Linked DNA regions of Lytechinus pictus. The protein of the gene in region 1 interacts with the protein of each later gene in a pairwise test. Links are inferred from orthologs where the notes say so. Each region holds a gene or a part of one and is shown on either strand. Other genes may lie near its edges.

Region 1 (8,750 bases):
AGCGAAATTGATCTTTATTAGTCATTCCATCGATTTAGGGGTGAACATTGGTGCACAGAAAAGGGGGACGGGGTCTACGATTCCCCGAAAGGTAGGGGGTGCATGGACGAAAATGCTATGTATTATATACGTGTATTCCAACAATTCCACTTTGGTTTGGTAATAAATTCGCCGCTAATCGAAATCACCTTTTTATGTCTTGAAAATGTACCAAATTGATCTTCATTAATCACTCCATCGATCTAGGGGTAAACATTGGTGCACAGAAAAGGAAAACGGGGTCTACGGTGCCCCGAAAGGTCGGGGTGCATTGACGAAAATACGGCGCCTGCTATTATGGCGTGCTATGTTATACGTGTATTCCAACTATTCCACTTTGGTGGCCGGGGGCTGGTAATAAATTCGCCGCTAATCGAAATCACCTTTTTATGTCTTCAAAATCAGCGAAATTGATCTTTATTAGTCATTCCATCGATTTAGGGGTGAACATTGGTGCACAGGAAAGGGGGACGGGGTCTACGATGCCCCGAAAGGTAGGGGGTGCATGGACGAAAATGCTATGTATTATATACGTGTATTCCAACAATTCCACTTTGGTTTGGTAATAAATTCGCCGCTAATCGAAATCACCTTTTTATGTCTTGAAAATGAACCAAATTGATCTTCATTAATCACTCCATCGATCTAGGGGTGAACATTGGTGCACAGAAAAGGAAAACGGGGTCTACGGTGCCCCGAAAGGTCGGGGTGCATTGACGAAAATATCACGCGAGCTGTTATGGCGTGCTATATATTATGTACGTGTATTCCAACTATTCCACTTTGGTGGCCGGGGGCTGGTAATAAATTCGCCGCTAATCGAAATCACCTTTTTGTGTCTTGAAAATCAGCGAAATTGATCTTTATTAGTCATTCCATCGATTTAGGGGTAAACATTGGTGCACAGAAAAGGGGGACGGGGTCTACGATGCCCCGAAAGGTGGGGATGCATTGACGAAAATACGGCGCCTGCTATTATGGCGTGCTATATTATGTACGTGTATTCCAACAATTCCACTTTGGTCTGGTAATAAATTCGCCGCTAATCAAAATCACCTTTTTATGTCTTGAAAATCAGCGAAATTGATCTTTATTAGTCATTCCATCGATTTAGGGGTGAACATTGGTGCACAGAAAAGGGGGACGGGGTCTACGATGCCCCGAAAGGTGGGGGTGCATTAACGAAAATACGGCGCCTGCTATTATGGCGTGCTATATTATGTACGTGTATTCCAACAATTCCACTTTGGTCTGGTAATAAATTCGCCGCTAATTGAAATCACCTTTTTATGTCTTGAAAATCAACCAAAATGATCTTTATTAGTCATTCCATCGATTTAGGGGTGAACATTGGTGCACAGAAAAGGGGGACGGGGTCTACGGTGCCCCGAAAGGTAGGGGGTGCATGGACGAAAATGCTATGTATTATATACGTGTATTCCAACAATTCCACTTTGGTTTGGTAATAAATTCGCCGCTAATCGAAATCACCTTTTTATGTCTTGAAAATGAACCAAATTGATCTTCATTAATCACTCCATCGATCTAGGGGTGAACATTGGTGCACAGAAAAGGAGGACGGGGTCTACGGTGCCCCGAAAGGTCGGGGTGCATTGCCGAAAATATCGCGCGAGCTGTTATGGCGTGCTATATATTATGTACGTGTATTCCAACTATTCCACTTTGGTGGCCGGGGGCTGGTAATAAATTCGCCGCTAATCGAAATCACCTTTTTATGTCTTGAAAATCAGCGAAATTGATCTTCATTAGTCATTCCATCGATTTAGGGGTGAACATTGGTGCACAGGAAAGGGGGACGGGGTCTACGATGCCCCGAAAGGTGGGGGTGCATTGACGAAAATACGGCGCCTGCTATTATGGCGTGCTATATTATGTACGTGTATTCCAACTATTCCACTTTGGTGGCCGGGGGCTGGTAATAAATTCGCCGCTAATCGAAATCACCTTTTTATGTCTTGAAAATCAGCGGAATTGATCTTTATTAATCACTTCATCGATCTAGGGGTGAACATTGGTGCACAGAAAAAGAAGACGGGGTCTACGGTGCCCCGAAAGGTGGGGGTGCATGGACGAAAATGCTATGTATTATATACGTGTATTCCAACAATTCCACTTTGGTTTGGTAATAAATTCGCCGCTAATCGAAATCACCTTTTTATGTCTTGAAAATGAACCAAATTGATCTTCATTAATCACTTCATCGATCTAGGGGTGAACATTGGTGCACAGAAAAAGAAGACGGGGTCTACGGTGCCCCGAAAGGTGGGGGTGCATGGACGAAAATGCTATGTATTATATACGTGTATTCCAACAATTCCACTTTGGTTTGGTAATAAATTCGCCGCTAATCGAAATCACCTTTTTATGTCTTGAAAATCAACCAAATTGATTTTTATTAGTCATTTCATCGATTTAGGGGTGAACATTGGTGCACAGAAAAGAAAGACGGGGTCTACGATGCCCCGAAAGGTAGGGGGTGCATGGACGAAAATGCTATGTATTATATACGTGTATTCCAACAATTCCACTTTGGTTTGGTAATAAATTCGCCGCTAATCGAAATCACCTTTTTATGTCTTGAAAATAAACCAAATTGATCTTCATTAATTACTCCATCGATCTAGGGGTGAACATTGGTGCACTGAAAAGGGGGACGGGGTCTACGGTGCCCCGAAAGGTCGGGGTGCATTGCCGAAAATATCGCGCGAGCTGTTATGGCGTGCTATATATTATTATGTACGTGTATTCCAACGTACAATTCCACTTTGGTCTGGTAATAATTCGCCGCTAATCGAAATCACCTTTTTATGTCTTGAAAATCAACCAAATTGAGCTTTATTAGTCATTCCATCGATTTAGGGGTGAACATTGGTGCAGAGAAAAGGGGGACGGGGTCTACGATGCCCCGAAAGGTAGGGGGTGCATGGACGAAAATGCTATGTATTATATACGTGTATTCCAACAATTCCACTTTGGTTTGGTAATAAATTCGCCGCTAATCGAAATCACCTTTTTATGTCTTGAAAATCAGCGAAATTGATCTTTATTAGTCATTCCATCGATTTAGGGGTGAAAATTGGTGCACAGAAAAGGGTGACGGGGTCTACGATACCGCGAAACGTAGAGGGTGCATGGACGAAAATGCTATGTATTATATACGTGTATTCCAACAATTCCACTTTGGTTTGGTAATAAATTCGCCGCTAATCGAAATCACCTTTTTATGTCTTGAAAATCAACCAAATTGATCTTTATTAGTCATTCCATCGATTTAGGGGTGAACATTGGTGCACAGAAAAGGGGGACGCGGTCTACGATGCCCCGAAAGGTAGGGGGTGCATGGACGAAAATGCTATGTATTATATACGTGTATTCCAACAATTCCACTTTGGTTTGGTAATAAATTCGCCGCTAATCGAAATCACCTTTTTATGTCTTGAAAATGAACCAAATTGATCTTCATTAATTACTCCATCGATCTAGGGGTGAACATTGGTGCACTGAAAAGGGGGACGGGGTCTACGGTGCCCCGAAAGGTCGGGGTGCATTGCCGAAAATATCGTGCGAGCTGTTATGGCGTGCTATATATTATTATGTACGTGTATTCCAACGTACAATTCCACTTTGGTCTGGTAATAATTCGCCGCTAATCGAAATCACCTTTTTATGTCTTGAAAATCAACCAAATTGATCTTTATTAGTCATTCCATCGATTTAGGGGTGAACATTGGTGCAGAGAAAAGGGGGACGGGGTCTACGATGCCCCGAAAGGTAGGGGGTGCATGGACGAAAATATAGCGCGTGCTGTGTGTTATATACGTGTATTCCAACAATTCCACTTTGGTCTGGTAATAAATTCGCCGCTAATCGAAATCACCATTTTATGTCTTGAAAATCAACCAAATTGATCTTTATTAATCACTTCATTGATTTAGGGGTGAACATTGTAGCACAGACAAGGGGGACGGGGTCTACGATGCCCCGAAAGGTAGGGGGTACATGGACGAAAATATAGAGCGTGCTATGTGTTATATACGTGTATTCCAACAATTCCACTTTGGTCTGGTAATAAATTCGCCGCTAATCGAAATCACCATTTTATGTCTTGAAAATCAACCAAATAGATCTTTATTAATCACTTCCTCGATTTAGGGGTGAACTTTAAATGGCTCACAAAAAAAGGGACGGCGTCTAAGATGCCCCGAAACCGACGCAGGTAGTGCATCAAAGTTGTAAATTTTACTGAGAATTTAATGTGGTCATCTACCCCCCCCCCTCCCCCCTGTTCCAAGGCCCATGTGAGAGACACTGATCCTTCATATAAAATTAATTAACAGATGCATTTTATTTAGGGAACAAGCAAAACTATATTGCACATAGGAAACTCAGAAGACATAAAATGGTTGTATACTCCGTGCTGGAAATAAGATAGTTATCAATAAGAGTTGAATTTACAAAAGAGAATCCGGAAGCAATCATCAAACTCTGATACTGAATTTTGAAGTAAGCAGTATTTTGTGAAAATAAAATGCACGCAGTCATAACTATCCATTTGAAGTGATCATGATGTCTTGTTCCAACTTTCGTTTTGCTTATAAAATGTTACGTGAAATCATTTTTTAATCATGTGATGTCTCTTATATTAAAATAATGTCCATAAATTAATGAAAAAATGCATTAAATATTTTTGATACAATATTTTTAATTCTATAGGAGGAGGTAATTTGAATAATCACGAATTCATATGATTAAAAAAGTGGGAATATACAGGAGAGATTACTTTTCTCCATTGAATGTTAAAGAAGAAATTTAAGGAATATAGAACTGGCCGAAATGCGGATCTTTAAAATATCATAACTCTACTATCCTTGTCCGATATTGTTAACATTTTACCAACTTTGTTTGATTCTTCTTGATCCGTGTTATTTTCAGCTGCACTCATGCCATATAGAAACATACTCCATTCAATTCTTTATGATTATATTCAAATGTTATACAAATCAGTCATATACTAACATTTGAAGCAATCATAATGTGGAATGGTGCATTATGGAAGTTCCATATTTTCAATCATCTGTAAGTTCGGGTAACTATATGCCTTTTTACTATACCATTTCCGTGCGCATTAAGACAATCTTCGAAACGTTTGAGAATTTAAGCTGTATTTAGGGTCTGCGACTATTAGACTACGCACACGGTGTAGGGCGGTTTGTATCGCGATAGCTCTGTGCGCTGGGTTTGTGCGCTGGCTTGCTTCAATATATTCTGTGCGCTGGGTTTGTGCGCTGGCTTCAGCCTGGTTAAAATTTAATCGTGTAATTCCAATCATGGCGGCCGAGTTCAAGTAAGCACGTGTGTTTGTTTACATTTTGTAAAATTTTGAAAAATCTAAATTTACTGTGTATCTTCATTACTTAAATTAACATAATGTTGTTTTCCTTTGTATTTCAGGACCGCACAGCCGGTGGAATACTACAGACAGTTTTTGGTTAGTATGATTCTGAACTTTAGATTTAGATCAGAACTGAAAATAAATGACTCACTTAACTTAGATTGTTAGACTTAGGGCCTAGTCTTACTCTTAATTAGATTAGAGTTAGTTACACAATGTCAATAATGTGGGACTAAGAGTAAAAGTAAGTCTGAGAAAAAAAAGTGACTGACATGACCCATGTCAGTGAGTGAGAGGAACAATGCCATGAATGGGAATTATTACAAAATAATGTGTTTTTTATTTCTATACTATATACCCTATGACATGTGTAGATTTCAAGAATGTCGACCAGTGTTACACTTACAGCCTACAGGAATTTTTACTTGAAATGTAACTTACTTATTTTACCTTGGTCGGAAGTAGGCATAAAGTTATACACAACTTATTTGCCCCTCTGACAAGGCTGAGCTGTCATGCCATGGCCATGGGCATCAGGGCATGCATGGGCGGAAATCCCAGGGGGGACGTGTCCCCCCTACTCAAAATAGTAGGGGGGACACAATATCAAATGTCCCCCCTACTATTTTTGGTCTTTTATGATGGTAAGAAATACATCATTTTAAATTGAAATAAAACATGAATTTTTGGACGAGATGACCTTACTTTGGCGATGATAACCTTTTTTTTGCTTGTCAAATTTTCCCGCCCCTTGTCCCCATAGGCGGATCCAGGGGGCCGAGGGGCCCGCCCCCCCCCCCCCCCCCCCTCTTGGCGGAGCAAAAAAAGACAAAAGGGAAAGAAAGAAGGAAAAAAGGAGGGAAAAGAGAGGAGAAAAAGAAGAGAAGGACGACGAGTGCATAAAATAAGATGAGGGGAAGACTTGGAAAATAAAAAGTATCTTTCGTGCCACTATATAAAATTTTCGCTCGCGCTTCGCGCTCGCATTGCCTGTTAGGTGATTTACATATCTTGTTCAATATGGAGTTCGAATGTCAAGTTTGGATTAGGAAGTCAACATACAAAACATATTTCACCTCGGAAATCGAACTTTCATTAATTTGTGTAATTTACAAATTTGTTTTTAAAAAGTGCACTGTAAAAATGTCAGTTTTATTGTCTGAATGTTAACATTTGCTGCTTGCGTTGCGCGCTTGCAAATTTTGATTTATCAGGTACTTTATTTTCGTGTATTCCATAAAGTTTTCAAAATATCCCTTTTTCAGGTCAGATTGTCAAGACGTATCAGCTAGCGCGCTGTACAATCGCATTTTGATTGGCGAGTTATATAAATGTTTCAATATTGATTATACAACAAACTACTTAAAATCCCCTTTTCATGACAGTTTATCAAAAATTTTAGCTCGCGATTTGCGCTCGCATTATTAATGTAGGAAGACCCCATATTACTCATACTTTTGATGATTTACAAAACATGAACAGAGTGCCCCATTTTTAGATCTAAATCTCGAATTTTTTTCTGCTCGCGCTTCGCGCTCGCATCAATTGTTAAATTATATAGCTATCCTGCTATTACAAAAACTGATTAAAATTTTTTCATTCTTTCTTTAAAAAGTTCAAAATTTTTCAGCTCGCGCTTCGCGCTCGCATTTTTTGATTGTTGAAATATGTAACGCCTTCATGGCTAAGTGCAAGCAGTCCTTAACAGGTACCTTTTCAACAGGTACCAGTTCAACGCTTTGCGCTCGCATTATTAATACTCATCCTTTTCAGGATTTACAAAACATGAATAGAGTGTCTCGTTCAGTAAATATTATAGGACCAAATCTCAAAATTTTCCGCTCGCGCTTCGCGCTCGCATTAATTGTTTACTTATATACCTATTCTGCTTGAGTTACAAAAAGTGCTTAAAATTTCCATTCTTTAGGTGAAAATGTCAAAATTCAGCTCGCGCTTCGCGCTCGCATTATTTGATTGTTAAATGCTCCTTTAACAGGTATCTTTTCCATCAATTCATTTCTGCTCGCGCGTTGCGTTCGTAGTAATTATTAAGTTGAATACATCTTTTTCAGGATAACAAACATTGCCCAGAATCGGTTCAAATTTTAGGAAAAAATAAATAAAATTTCCAAAAAAATTAGCTCACGCTTCGCGTTCGCATCATATAAATAAGGATTATGATATTATATATTAATTTATAAGAATAAAGCTAAGAAGTGACTAATGAGGACAAACCCTTCAAAGAAACAAACAAAAATCATCTTCGTGCTGCCGATCGGGAAAATATGGCTGAAAAAATTTTCCGCCCCCCCCCTATTGGCGAAGGCTGGATCCGCCCCTGTGTCCCCCCTACCTTTTGGGAGAGATTTCCGCCCCTGAGGGCATGGCTATGTGTGAGTGTGATTGACCGTGATGACATGACCGAGTATGTTCAAGTAACTACTTAGAGTTAGACTTAGAGAGGTCAACATCTAATGATGATAACAGAAACGAAATATTAAGTTTATGAATATGAGACAATTGTAAAATTTTATTTGACTTTGTGGTTATGGAAATTGATAGGGACAGAACCTGATATTAATTTTTGATTTGCTGATGCTGATGTAAGAATTTAGTCTCTTCCCTTGATAAGGTCTACACTACAGTTGCACTTGCAATAGATAGTCTATTATTACTAGAGTAATCTAGATCTATGTGAATTCTGAATCTTGAAGTTGTTTTGCTTTTATGTTTCGCATAGAATAATGAATACTGTTTAGACCATTTTGAAAACATTTGAAGAAAAACAATTGCTTCCCATTATTTAAGAGGTCTTTTAATACTTGTTGTGCTTAGTTATGATCATATTCATTTTCAATGAGAGTCTTTTGAAACTGCACTGTTCTCAGTCATTTGAATTTTTCCTTATAGTTTTGTTATCTCTTCCGTTAATTTTTAAATGTCATTGATTTAACTAGAAGTTGGATCTTGATTGTTTCTTTCTTCTTGTCAAGTGAATGTTATTGTTTTCTAATCTCTACCATAAATTGAACTACTATATCATTATGAGTTCCATGACTTCCCATATTTTGCTGTCTTTATTACTTTCTGGATAAATATAATTTTAGTATTTGAAACACTTGGCTTTCATGTTATTTGTTTTAATCAACTTTTTTGTGCTATCTAGAGTAATAACATCATTTTAATTATCATTATTGCCACTGCCTACTGTTATTGTTGTTATTGATACTACATGTAAAATTAGTGGAAGTATAACTTATTATTAATACAAATTTTATTTATGATAATAATAAAATGA
Region 2 (8,032 bases), on another chromosome or scaffold:
ATATATTTCAACAATTAAATAATGCGAGCGCGAAGCGCGAGCTGAATTTTTTTTTACATTCCGACCTACATAATGGACATTCTAAGTACTTTTTGTAATTATGAAAGGGATAGGTATATAACTAAACAATAGATGCGAGCGCGAAGCGCTAACGGAAAAAAAAAATCAGACCTAAGAGCCTGATACTTTATTCATGTTTGGTAAATCATGAAAAATTCTGATCTGAAACTGGATATTTTAAGCATAAATGAAGGAAAGCTGGTGTGTCCCCAAAAACACGCGTGCGCGTGGAGTAGATTTTGACCTAAAGATCTGGGCATTCTGAATACTTTTTTTATCATGAAAATCAATGATGCGAGCTCGAAGCGCGAGTTCAAAATATTGATATTTAGACCATAAAATGGACATTTTACAGAACATTAAACAAAATCACCATTTGTAAATCAAGCAAAATAATTTAAAAAAGTATATAAAGCTCGATGTCCGAGCTGATATATGTTTTGTAGATTGACCTCAAAACTTGATATAGCTTCATCATCCTTTTGAGCGAGATATGAAACTCATCGGACAGGCAATGCGAAAATTGCATATAGTGACATTAAAGATTAAAAAAAAATCAAAGTCTTTCCCTCGTCTTCCTCCTCTTATTTTTAAAATCATGTTTTCCTTCTCTCTTCCCCCCACCCCTTTTAAAATTTCTTTCCCTTCTTTTCTTTTTTTATGCTCCGCCAATTATTGGGAGGGGCCGGGGCCCTCGCCTCCCTGGATCCGTCTGTGATAAGGCGTGGCGGCACTGTTAGAAAATTTATCCTTAAAATAAAAGAAGTTCCTGCAGCACCTGTAATCTTACCAGATTGCGTAATCTTACAGGAAATTGGTATTTGATGTATGGAATCTTACAAATTTCCTTAAATGAAACACCCATTTCCACTTTTTAAACAGACCTGTTCTGTTAAATTGAAGAAAAAAAAAAAAATTCTGTAAAATCACGTTTTTTTAAACAGTGGGAGTTTTTTTTAATTACCGATAATTAGGCCAAACCTTTTTTCATCTATGGAAAAAACAATCTCCAACTTTTCAATCTTTCTATAATCTTCCAAAATAATCGATTTTATGCAGTGTGAGTGAAAAGTGGTTTCAATTTCCTCAGAAATATTTCATAAGTTATTTGTCACATGCCACTCATATAGATTATCTTTTGAGGGTAAAATATCTTGTTCGAAAATTTGAAACTAAATTGTCGAATTCCGTTATCTAAAATAAACTGTATGCATCTTATAATATAAGACATCATGGGGCGGGGGGAAGGAGGGGGGATAGACCATAGACCTAAAGATACTGAAAGATACTGAAATTAAATACATTGTATACTGAAATAAAATTTGTCACTATTTTTAAATTGAAGAGATAATTTTTTTTGTGGGCCTACTCATCCCATCTAAGCTTCTAGTCATCATGATCACCATGGGCGGAAATCCCAAAGGAGACAGGGGGGACGTGTCCCCCCTACCAAAAATAGTAGGGGGACACAATATCAAATTTCCCCCTACTATTTTTGGTCTGTTATGATGGAGAAAAATGCATTACTTCAATAATACTTGTGTTTTGGACTAAGGGTGAAAAACTTTTTTTTTTTTTTTTTGCTTGTCAAATTATTTGTGGGTTAAAATGGGCTTACATTTTGGGTGATAACCTTTTTTTTTTTGCTTGTCAAATTTTCAAGGCCCTGCCCCCATATACCTTTTTTGGGACAGATTTCCGCCCATGATGATCATAATAATATGATTAGAAGCCTATCGCGTGGCACCAACATTTTTTTGTAATTGAAGGAAAGCGGAAGGATTATCTGTTAACTGTATGCAAATAAGACTTTTTTGTTACTGCTATAAGCACAATGACCAATAACCATCTCAGTCGAACTTCGTCAACTATACACAACAAAAAAAGTAAGTCCCCCCTTAAACAAACATCAATAATTTCCGAACCAATGCGAGTTTTTAATACATTTTTACATAAGCGTGTAGGTAATTTTATAAGCTATCCTCTGAGTAAATGTTATGGACATATTTTACGTCATGCTTCAGTGAACATCGTCAAAAGGCAAAAATTTCACTTTTCAAAAGTCACAAGCCAAATATCATTACTTTGATTCCATTTTATTGGATCTAATTCCACAATCTCATCATGAAAAACAGTCAGAAGGCTTGTAAAAGGTACTTTCTAAAACTGAGACGATACAACATTTTTTGGCTAAATTTCACGGTTGAATAAACACAAGTCCGAATTTGCTATAATTGGATCTTTTACACTTTTCTATCAATAAAAATTATAGAATATGATGACAGTTATTTTTGGGAAGAGTATCTTCAACAATATTCATCGTTTCACGGTTCAATGAACATTTATTGAAAACAAAAAATACGATTTTCAAATATCACAGGCATGTATTGTTTCATTTTGGTAATTGAAAATGATATTTTCTCAACTTTTTCGTTATTTTCATGACCAAATAACATGCTTCAATGATTCAAAGGCGTTTAATTAAACTTTCACGCTTGAATGAACATGTAATGTGATTAGCTCTTTTTTACGTTATTGGAAAAAATGCAATTTGTAACTATAGATATCTGTCACAAACCTCCTTGCATAGTTCATTTGATTTGATTTTATGAAAATCCCGATGTTTAATGCATCAGCGAGCACACAATATTCGAAAATCATGCAAATGAGAAGAAAGTTCAATGCCTTGGCCCCACTCTGTGCCGTATCGAATGGTTATTTTGGTGTGCGCGCCTTTTGGATAGTGTTACTCTGAAGCCATGTGCGAAGTTTTATGAAATAACTGTTGGCAGAAGTAACAAAAACCGTCCATGAAACAAACCCTCATTTCATATTTGTTATAATTTTGACCTTCTCTCTCATAGACTTGTGTACATTATAGGTGCATATGTAAAGGAGAATGAAACCCTTGAAACCAGCTGAATTCATATCAAAGAGAAAAATCAAAGAAACATATTGTTGAAAGCTGAGGAAGATTGAATGAATAATAAGAAAGTTATGAGAATTTGAATATTGAGATCACTTATGCCATGTAGTTCCTCCCATTGGCAATGCGACCAAGATCTGTGATGTCACACACGTACAACTCCCTCATTACTTTAATACTTATTTCACTTATATTCTCACTTTTATAGAGTCTATCACAAGGTGAGGAGTTCTCTTTATGAGAGGACAAGTACAGAGGTTTCACAACATTATATCATTGATGAATCGTTTGTCATATGATTATAATGAGCAAAAGGAGATGTTTTGGGGTATATTTTCAGTGTCCAAAAGGGGAGAGTTGTTCATCTGTGACATCATAGATCTTGCGCTTAGAAACTGCATTGTATTAAGCGCTATATAAAAGCTCCATATTATTATTATTTTATTATTATTATTGGTCGAATTGCCAATGGGAGGATCTCCATAGCATTAGTGATCTCGACATTCAAATGCTCATAACTCTTCTATTGCTAGTCCTATTTTACTCAAACTTTTGTTGATCTTATTCTTTGATTTTTCTGCTTTCACAAAAGCTAACTTGCTCCAAGAGTTTCATTCTCCTTTAAGAATAAGTAACCCCTTATTCAATATGGTGGAACTTTTTTCAAGGCTGTCTTTAGCAATGTCATTTGGCAGTAATGTTTATCAATCTATGGGCAGAATTTTGTGCAAAAATGAAAATTTCAAATGTGACTTTAATTGCTGTTGTTTTTATCATCCATCAAGTTCTATCACCACACACTTTCCGAACTTTAAACATTTTCAGGGTTGAGCGAGCACATTCGAAAACTTAGGAATGAATACTCTTTATACTGCATAAATTTCTCATGATCAGCTTAATTTATGGACAAATCAGTGGTGGATCCAGAATAAAAAAAAATGGGGGAGGGGCCTATAATCGGGGGAGACACCAACATTTTCAAATTTTAACATGATCTAACAAGTTGTAGAGGATACTACCATAAACCCCTATGATGATACGTCACAATACAGGGGTCGCGGAACGGTTTCAAAGTGGGGGGGGGGGGCTGACCATGCAAAAAATCACAATCGTGTGGTCATATTTACATTTTACATGCTTTTGGAAAAAAGTGGGGGGCTGAAGCCCCCCCCCCCCGCTTCCGCGGCCCCTGCAATACTTTGTGCTCACTCAACCATGAACATACGATATCAAAATTGTGTGTGGGGTGGCTAAATGATGGATAGTAAAACAGCATAACACTATAAAATTCACCTAAAAACTTTTGCCCAATTTTGTATTTGCACAACAGAATCTGAAAAACGACTCTTGTGACTTTAAAAAATTGTCATTTTTAATTCAATCTTTAATTACTCATGCATGACTTAACCGATCAATCTCATTTTTCACCAGGAGTTGCTTTGTGAGGGTAGAAAACCACCTCCGAAATATCATATCTCAAAATAATATAATTCAAAAGTAACTGCAATTTGATTTAGGGGGGACTTACTTTTTTTGTTGTCTATATTATCTTCGTATTTTGCCTTTTTGAAACTACCATACGCGCGCGCACGACACACGCTCGTAACGTCGACACACGCGGATTGACATACGACGCAAATTTTTTCTTCACCGAAAAAATAATTAAAATAATTAATTTTGATTGGTTCGTCCAGATGAAAGTCATGGATAAGTCTTTAGATGACATAATCAGGGAAAGGAAAACATCTAAAACTTCTGTCTTTCAGAACCGTTTGGGGAGGTAAGATATTGTTCTTCGCGACGCCAGGTCCACGGCTCACACAGGATGCCATGACCATCACTGACTTGCGCAATCCTTACGCACGCATGTCTAATCAATCTTTCACAATTCTGTGATACGGCTGTTCGAATTTCACAGGAGCTAAATCGCTGGTACCGCACATAAGTTGTGCGTGGTATATCGCATTAGTTCGAGTGGTCACTGGCTGCACTTTGTCTTTGATTTGCACCCGGTTGGCATGCACTTGACTTGTGCAGAAGTATTTTTGTGAGAGTGTGTGCTACCTGGGATTTATCATTTAGCTCATTTGAAAGAAATTAAATGATATCAATAACACAGTCATTATTTAGCTTATTTTATTCTTTCATATCCTGAATTAATAAGTTGACAATTGACATGACAAAAGATTTTACGATTTTGAAAATTAAATCCAATGACTGTTAAAAGTGTTATTCAATCTTGAACTTGCGACAAAGTTATGTATTTGTACTATTTGGGTTCTTACAGATGTGTTTCAATCAGAAATTCAGGTATTCCTATGATTATTTATGTCTGGGATCGAAAGTTTTGCGTCACCATCGCATCGGAAAGATGTGACCAGGGGCAGGGCTTGTAACTTCACCGTGCAGCTATACAGGTGCACACAACAATGTCCAGCATTAGACTTGGAAATAGTCATACAGCCAATTTAGTCTATCCATACTAGTTATACTAATTAATACATGTAGACCTTTGTCTGTTTTTAGAAAAAGAAATGTAAAACTTTCGATATCAGTCATGTTCATAAGACTTGTCTGTGCATGATTTGCAATTACTCTAATTAAGCATTACTCCATTAGGCCTACCGACAAAAGAACAATTTTGCATGGTATGGTACCATCTGTTACAGTGTTACACTGTTAATGTTGGGAAATTAAGAAAAAAAGCACAATAATTTTTTTTTTTTTTAATACATTTTCCACCCTGAAATTAAAATTGGACGACCTTCTTTTTCTTAGTTACTCCACTGCAGGATTGCCGTGGAGATGGAGTAGTGCCCCCTAAATAGAAATCAAACACAGAACAAAATGCCTGTGACCTTACACAGGGATTATAAATTATATAATTTCACAATCCATCCATTGAAATATGAGAAGCAGATAGCTTCCAGATTTACCTGTTTGCCTTTACATCCAAGTAAATCCAAGCAAGTTATTACCACGAACTCAGTTTTCACAAAGAACCGAAAGCAAAGTATGGTTCTGTTTAATTCCTCGCTTGACCATCTAAGCTAGGATACTTCATACAGAGTAAGCTTGCATATTCATTTTACTCCCTAAAAGCCTCCATTATTGATCATTCAACATAATGTAGAGGGTACCAATTGTTTAGCTTATATTCTTTAATCTAAATCTGATAGTTTAAATTGCTGTAAAATCAATGCAACTCCTATTTGTTCACCATGCAGGGGGAGAGGTAGAGGGGGAGCAGGTATAAGCAGGGGTGGGAGAGCACCTCAAGTGAACCCCAGGGGCCAGAACAGAGGCAGGGGTAGAGGCAGTTGGCAAAAACAACAATTCCAGGAAAAACCACCAGTGATCGTTGATGCAAGACAGAAGCTGATCCAGAAAGCCCACCAAGGTGATGCCCGGGACCGACTGGCCAAGAAAGCAAGGCAGACCGATGCAAGGGAGAAGCTGACATCGAGGAAGAGGAATGCAGATGGACAGGTGGTGGGGCAACCAAGGAGTGGTGGAGGGCAACTGGGGAGTGGTGGGGGCCAACCGAGGGGTAGTGGGGAGCAACTACAATCTCCTAGTGCCCCTCAGAGCAGACCCCTTGCCAGAACAGTGCCAAATGTAAGAGAACCAGAATATATTTATCGAAAACATTTTATTCATGAAGATCACATGAAGAAATTTTAACTGGCTTTGATGGATGTTTATTGCTAGGTAGAGAATCTTTCACATTATCATCACAGGAACATTCATTTTGATGATTTGTTTTTTATTTATAATTCAATGATCGAATTACTGTCCTTCATGTATGAAGTTATTTAATCTCCAATATGACATTGACAATGATAATACATCACATATTCTTTTTATAGTAAACATCACATTATTACCTTAAAAATGCACTCCCTTTGGACTCTGACTTAAGACTGCATACAGTATCCTACTATTTAGAGGAAAATTAGATTAAGTTTGACATTAGTTTCTTGGTTCAAAGTTTATCTTGTATAAAATCAGCTACTTGTGAAGTCTATTACCGTGTACATGTAGGTAGTGCAGATGATAATGTGCATGTGTGTCAGGTAATAAACTGGTTCATATTTTCCCTTTATGCAACAATGATTAATTTGTCAGCATTGCCATTAGAATGCCTTCTGTTTTTTTTCAATGAATTGTAGAATCTGAGTTTGAGGACCGCAAGGCCAGAGGTCAATATACATGTATGTTAGATTTAGAATTGCTCGCAAGCATGAATTAAATATATATATTTTTTTCCATTGGCAGTTGGGTTCAACCTTTACTGTGCGTAACCCTGCAAGAGTGCAGAACAAGACGCAGATCACCATCCGGAACCCACCTCAGAAGGAATCCCCATCGCCTATTTCCATGGCATCCTCTCACCATGGTACCTCCGCTCGTCAGAGCAGCAATCCCTTACTGGCTGGTAGCAGTACTCTTCGAGTCACCAAGGCTGTTCCTCAACCTCAAAAGGTAAGTCACCAGTCACTGTCAACTTCAGAAGTTGACTATCCACTGTATGGGTCTTCCTCAGTCTGCCAGGGAATTCTTTGCAAAGTTTGACACATGTCTCACAGTCCCTCATTCTTTCCAAGAAATGTTTCACCAAAACAAAAATATGTAATCAAAATATATTCTTGATAAGGGATAATTAACCTTTCTCTCAGGTTTTCTGGTTATTGGGCTCACCCCTATGATTTGAAACAAAACTTCAGAAGCTTTTGTTTGATGCACTACAGTACCTGTGAAGTCATGTTAGTAGTCAGTTGGGGAGGGGGGGGGGGTGGCCAGTGAGCCCTTTATATTTCTTGCTATCTCTTTAAGAGGCTTTGCAGGAAAGTATTTGCAATCAATTGCAAATTCTGATGCAAATTATAATTTGATACATAAATGCTACCGGTAAGTAGAGCTATTTGCATGTTACAAGAAGCACACCAGCAATCGAGTGTAAATTGTCAATTAATTGCCAGAGTTATAATTAATATTTGGACCCAAATTTGACTTGCAATTGAGTGCAAGTTTCTTGCAACACCA

What was found.
Region 2: the proteins of exosome complex component RRP43-like (region 1) and polymerase delta-interacting protein 3-like interact in a two-hybrid assay, tested with the Homo sapiens proteins (2 studies listed by BioGRID). The link is inferred for Lytechinus pictus from reciprocal best matches to the Homo sapiens genes EXOSC8 and POLDIP3.

Annotation. Positions count from the first base shown.
Region 1 is NW_026974140.1:15,580,741-15,589,490, reverse strand, and holds the start of exosome complex component RRP43-like, read left to right. Parts: upstream 1-5,326; 5' UTR 5,327-5,387; coding exon 5,388-5,404; intron 5,405-5,511; coding exon 5,512-5,548; intron 5,549-8,750. UniProt on the Homo sapiens protein: Non-catalytic component of the RNA exosome complex which has 3'->5' exoribonuclease activity and participates in a multitude of cellular RNA processing and degradation events.
Region 2 is NC_087254.1:27,719,959-27,727,990, reverse strand, and holds the start of polymerase delta-interacting protein 3-like, read left to right. Parts: upstream 1-4,565; 5' UTR 4,566-4,680; coding exon 4,681-4,766; intron 4,767-6,213; coding exon 6,214-6,604; intron 6,605-7,264; coding exon 7,265-7,471; intron 7,472-8,032. UniProt on the Homo sapiens protein: Is involved in regulation of translation. Is preferentially associated with CBC-bound spliced mRNA-protein complexes during the pioneer round of mRNA translation. Contributes to enhanced translational efficiency of spliced over nonspliced mRNAs.